Tribolium castaneum: one gene and its partner. The protein of the gene in region 2 interacts with the protein of the main gene of each other region in a biochemical or structural test. Links are inferred from orthologs where the notes say so. Each region holds a gene or a part of one and is shown on either strand. Other genes may lie near its edges. The genes, in order: PrBP and Arl2.

Region 1 (2,854 bases), on a different chromosome or scaffold from region 2:
TAATAATAATAATTTAGTAGTAAAAAATCTTGATGCATTTTTTTATGATAATAAATTCTTATTCAACTATCACAATGAAAATGCTATCGCAAAAGCTAATAGAGTTCTTGTCTGTATTAAGAAATATGAGAAAGATATTATAGTGTTTTACAAACGTTCTGTAAAAAATGTATTAACTGTTAAATCTTGTAAATATAAATGTTTAGTACCGAAAATAAAATAAATAAAAAACAAAAAGATAAAGCCAATTATCATTAACTGTCAGTATTTTTTTATTTTTATTACTAGATTTATTTTTTTAATTTCTAATTTCATTTTTTTTCTAATTACAAGTAAGATAAGACATTCAACATAAATGTCGGTTATTTAAAAAAATTAAGACTGACAAATGTCAGTATGATTACAAAATGTAGCAATAAAAAACCATTTTTTAATGAGTAATAAATGAATTTTTGTGTCTGTATACGAGCATATTTCATTATTTTTATGTTCGTAACTTGTTAGACGGCTAAAACAGCATACTGAGTGACGTCACGCTTGCAGCGCTCTACATTACCGATACTGTTACCGGACAATCTCCCATTATACAGAGTATATAAAATTATATACTCTGTGTTCCCATTATTGCTGGTGTTAGGGTTTGCGAAATAAAACAATTTTTATTATTGAAAAATTTAATAAAGTAAATGCACACATTGTTATTATCACACACAAAGGTAACAAAACGCAACAGTGGCCCCGTTGGTGTCTTTTGATTCAAACGTAGAATAAACGCACTCTCGATGTGGAAATTAGCAAGTCGTCGTCATAGAATTTCGTTTCAATGACAACATTGCCGCTGGAAATGAAATTATTGATTAAACTCGATTGATTTGCGGCAATTTATACTTGAGGACGGACGCGGGCATCATTTCAGACTCAGGTGCTGCCTCCATGATCGATTGCCATGTATTTGTCGATTCTGGCATAACAAAACCAAATTCGAAGTACCACTCTTCAAGACACCGTCCCTTAAACAATACTTTCTGCACACAAGCCAATAAAACACCGCTATTTTGCACATGTTACCTGCTCCAGACGAAATTTTTCGATTTGTTCTTTGGAACTAAAATTAAACTCTCGAGATACTGCACGACATTTGAGGATGTTTTTAGGTACGTGAGCTTCATGTTCCACGTCCGGAAAGCTCAAGTCCTCGCAACCTTGCCAGAAAACGGTCCCACCGTCGGCGTCACGCAAACAAACCCAATTCCTACGCGATTTTTCAAATTTGCCCCCAAAAAAAAACGATACTCACACTTGAAAACCCTTAAGTATCTCTTCGGCGCGAGTGCTCTCGGACATTCTCCCGAAGAAGGCAAGGGGCGAATTCGTTGTTTGGATGCGATTTTGAGGCAAACATAGAAACTAACCTCAAAAAAGCAAAGTTTTGACAGCTGACAGTGATGACACGATCAGCGCGTCCTCTACTTTTTCGAATTTTTCCGTAACTATTATTAATTCAATTTGAAAAAAGTGCTAAATTAATGATAATAATGTTTTTTTTATTTTACGCATTACTAAAGATTAGAATATGAAACGACATACAAAAAAACTGGGCAATGAATTAAAGAAGAAAAAAAAACACAGTCGAATGCCCTATCGAAGAGCATAATATCCTGCAAAAATAAAAAAAAATGAAGGATATAAAAAGGGTAAAAAAAATAAAGTTTGCAAAATCGGGAAATCTTAAAGAATCTTTAAAAATTCATTAAGGTCCCAATGGGTGTTTGTCCGAACATGATTTTTTCACAGTCAAAGGCCCTATCAAAGGGCTTAATCTCCTGCAAAAATAAAAAAATTGAAGGATATAAAGAGAGTGAAAAAAATAAAGTTTGCGAAATCGGAAAATCTTAAAGAATTTTCAAAAATTCATAAAGGTCCCAAGGAGTATTTGTCCGAACATGATTTTTTCACAGTCGAAGGCTCTATCAAAGGGCTTAATCTCCTGCAAAAATAAAAAATATTGAAGGGTACAAAGGGGGTGAAAAAAAATTAAGTTTGCGAAATCGGGAAATCATAAAAAAAAAATAAAAATTCATTAAAGTCCCAAGGGGTGTTTGTCCGAAAATGATTTGTTTTACAGTCAAAAGCCATATCAAAGGGCTTACTCTCCTGCAAAAATAAGAAAAATTGAAGGATATAAAGAGGGTGAAAAAAATAAAGTTTGAGAAATCGGAAAATCTTAAAGAATCTTTAAAAATTCATTAAAGTCCCAAAGGGTGATTGTCGGAACATGATTTTTTTACAGTCGAAGGCTCTATCAAAGGGCTTAATCTCCTGCAAAAATAAAAAATATTGAAGGGTATAAAGAAAGTGAAAAAAATTAAGTTTGCGAAATCGGGAAATCATAAAAAAATTTAAAAATTCATTAAAGTCCCAAGGGGTGTTTGTCCGAAAATGATTTGTTTTACAGTCGAAAGCCATATCAAAGGGCTTACTCTTCTGCAAAAATAAGAAAAATTTAAGGATATAAAGAGAGTGAAAAAAATAAAGTTTGAGAAATCGGGAAATCTTAAAGAATTTTAAAAAATTCATTAAGGTCCCAAGGGATGTTTGTCGGAAAATGATTTTTTTACAGTCGAAGGCCCTATCAAAGGGCTTAATCTCCTGCACAAATAAAAAAAATTGAAGGATATGTAAAGGATGAAAAAAATAAACTTTGCGAAATCGAGAAATCTTAAAGAATCTTTAAAAATTCATGAAGATCCCAAGGGGTGTTTGCTCAAACATGATTTTTTTACAATGAAAGGCCCTACCAAAGGGCTTAATCTTATGCAAAAATAAAAAAAATTGAGGGATATAAAGAAGGTGA
Region 2 (3,165 bases):
CACGGCCAAGTCTGGCGATGGTCGCACTTACGGCGCAGTCTCTCCCACCTTATTTTCGAGCTGCAGCCGCGAAATTTCTGTTTTTCGGCCCACCAAATGGAGATTTGCCTCAACCCGTGTCATTACAGACACCACCGACTGCTTCCACCCTTGGACCCAGTTCTAGCGTCCCCGGTTTGGGCAACGATTTATTACTACGAGAAGGGGTCGCGAATTGGGGACGCGTTTCCTTGCCAAGGACTCTCCGCTTGGGTGCATTGCTTACAAGGAGGACCGCAGCGAAACGACAGGTTTAATTTGTTCGAGAAGGAAAATGCGGGACGCGAGTGGACGGTGAAAAATACAAGGCAGCAGATTGGGAGAGGGATTACTCTGCACTATGTTAAGGGGCAGATTTACGTGCAGTTGTGGTCCGATTCGGATCTCTACGTCAATTCGCGGTTTTACAATCGGCTTAAAAACTACCCGGGTGGTACTATTTGTAAGTTGTCGCCGTTTCGGTGCAGACACATGAAACTGTTCCGTGATGACGAATTTCACGAAATGTTATCTGCGGAGGTGGCAAAGGGTTGGGAGGCTGTTTACAGCTTAGCTAAAGTGTGCACCGTTCGAATCAGTTTTGTGGAGGGTTGGGGTAACGAAGTTGGGGGGATTACTGAGAAGCCTTGTTGGCTTGAAGTGCGCTTTCTGCGACATCTGGAGTGGACCCAAAGGACTTTGACGCAAATGGGGGCGCCATACAAACTACACTATTAATATTTTATGTCTTTTTTATTAAATATATTGTACAAAAGATAAATATTTTGATACAGAATAAATTAATCCAAAGTGAAAATTCTTGCTGCAATATCGTCAATTAACCAATCCATTCCTTTCAAAAGATTTTCGCCCGTAACAGCGCTACATCTCGCTATTTGCCAATGGTGGGTTTTGATTTGATCCAGTCCGAGAATTTCACGCAACTCTTCAGGGGTGCAAGCCCCTGGAAGGTCTTGTTTGTTTGCAAAAACTAGAAGAGTCGCGCCAGCTAATCTCTGAAAAAAAAGTAGTACGAACATGTTTCATACAAATTTATGTACCTCTTCTTGAAGTAAAGTGTGTAACTCAGCTTTACAGTCCTCAAGACGTCTTTTATCAGCACTGTCCACCACCCAAATAAGACCATCTGTGCATTCAAAGTAATTTCTCCAGTAGGAGCGTAGTGATTTCTGACCCCCGACATCCCACAAATTTAAAGTAAAACTAAAACACTTTATTTTGAAAATTCGGAGTGTGAATAGCAGACCTACCCTCTGTGTTCCAAGGTTTTGATATTGAACCCCAAAGTAGGTGAAATCGTATCAATTGGTTCCCCGTTAAACCTTTTCAAAATTGTCGTTTTCCCAGCGTTATCTAAGCCTCTAAATTATAAAATTAAGAAAAACAGTGAGATGTTTTGCACAAAAAATGAGTTTTTTGAGGTTAGATCTGGACGATAAAAGGATACAGCATCAAAATTCGCATTTCTTTTTCTTTTTGCTTCATTTTCTTTAAAACTGTGAGAAAACCCATTTTGTATTAAAAATTATTAGACACAATAAAAAAATTCGAAGACTTATTATTTTATGACGTTTGAGATTTTCGACATCTGACAGAAACGTCACATTACCGCCAGAACGTATGTTGTAATTTTACACACGAGTTTTGGTGATTGCCTACATAAGTTTGTTGTTCAACTACAGTAAAACCCCGTTTATTCGCAAAAAAGTTGCCACATCTGAAGCGAACAAGAAAAAACACCAATCATAATTCGAAGTGACTCTTTGTTAAAAAAAAGAATAATAAAAATGATTTGATATTAAAACCTTTTCAAAAAAGATAAACAAATAAACTTGTAATACAATCATTAAAAAATACAAAAATGTGCTTCTTTCTATCATTTTTGAAAGCCATCCTGCGTGGACGTTGTGCATACACTGTAGGTACTTTGAGCAAAAAATTGGCTCGTTTATCAGGCAAAACTATTTTGTTTTAAAAAAAATTACCTGGTGGTAATAGATCAAAATATTTACATAATACGACTAATTCGTATAATGAACAAAAGTCGCTTAATTTTTTTACCACGATTTGTTATCTTTATAAATTTTGTAAATAATCAAATCTCGAACATTCATTCGTATGATGCAATTTGTTTTATAAAAGCCTGAAGTGTTTTTTTTTCTGAATCATGTGTTTCAATTTTGATTGACTCTTTTATTTAAACGAAGTCTAACAGCTTCTTAGCTATGATCGTGCTTAAACTATAGGTTGCTTAAACTAATTGTTGTCAAAAGAGCTAAATTTTTATGTTAGATATGTATACTTGCTTCAAAAAATGATTTCGCAAAATACTATTATCTAAAATTATTGTTGGAAATTTCATTTATTCCATAACTGTATTTTTAGGATTATCCAGTAAACGAATCTAAACCCGCCCCTGCAGATAATGCTGATGTACTGAAAGTATCTTGAGCAGATTACACAATTATTATTTGACTGATTAAGTACTCAATCTTGAATAATAAAACAATACAAAAATGTGATTCTTGATTGATTAGCAAAATATTTTCCTGAAAAGATAAGAAACAAAAAAGTAATTTTGTAAATTACCTACTTTTAGTGTTTTTAAATAAAGGTTTGGTGTGTCGGGTTTTTTAAACTTTGTTTTATTTACTTTTAGTGAAAATAAGACAATAATTTTCGTAGATGTTTTGTATAGGTTTCAAACTCGGTTTTAAATTAAACTAAGTGCTTTAACTAGTCTCTTGTAATTGCTGGATTTTGAATAACAATCCCATAGTTTTAACAAACAACTACCTATTACCCAATTAACTCGTCTACCTAATCTCCTCCACTTCGTAAAAAATTCCATTACTAAAGACCATAGCCACTATCTAGATGCATTTTTAACAACTTTTTCGATAACACACCCATTTAAAACTGCATCCAGACAAGTCGCCCATCTAGTCCAACAATGGCCACCCTCACAAAAATATTTGCTTTTATCTTAACCAGCTGTTTTATCCTAAGTGTGGCGTTAGCCAACGCTCCAATTTCACGCTCATCGCGAAGAAGTAAATCTCATTCGGACAGAATCCTCGATGATTGATATTCTCAATTTCAGTCCACATCCCATTTTTGGGCCTG

What was found.
Region 1: the proteins of Arl2 (region 2) and PrBP are reported together in a solved structure, tested with the Homo sapiens proteins (2 studies listed by BioGRID and IntAct, with this or other methods). The link is inferred for Tribolium castaneum from reciprocal best matches to the Homo sapiens genes ARL2 and PDE6D.

The regions. Positions count from the first base shown.
Region 1 is NC_087401.1:12,576,932-12,579,785, reverse strand, and holds PrBP (retinal rod rhodopsin-sensitive cGMP 3',5'-cyclic phosphodiesterase subunit delta), read right to left. Parts: upstream 1,457-2,854; 5' UTR 1,345-1,456; coding exon 1,298-1,344; intron 1,253-1,297; coding exon 1,069-1,252; intron 1,026-1,068; coding exon 889-1,025; intron 839-888; coding exon 757-838; 3' UTR 657-756; downstream 1-656. UniProt on the Homo sapiens protein: Promotes the release of prenylated target proteins from cellular membranes. Modulates the activity of prenylated or palmitoylated Ras family members by regulating their subcellular location.
Region 2 is NC_087396.1:14,850,613-14,853,777, reverse strand, and holds Arl2 (ADP-ribosylation factor-like protein 2), read right to left. Parts: upstream 1,649-3,165; 5' UTR 1,552-1,648; coding exon 1,487-1,551; intron 1,401-1,486; coding exon 1,290-1,400; intron 1,243-1,289; coding exon 1,080-1,242; intron 1,035-1,079; coding exon 819-1,034; 3' UTR 757-818; downstream 1-756. Other genes in the region: protein mothers against dpp, read left to right, coding at 1-756; uncharacterized protein LOC103313727, read left to right, coding at 2,993-3,092, 3,143-3,165. UniProt on the Homo sapiens protein: Small GTP-binding protein which cycles between an inactive GDP-bound and an active GTP-bound form, and the rate of cycling is regulated by guanine nucleotide exchange factors (GEF) and GTPase-activating proteins (GAP).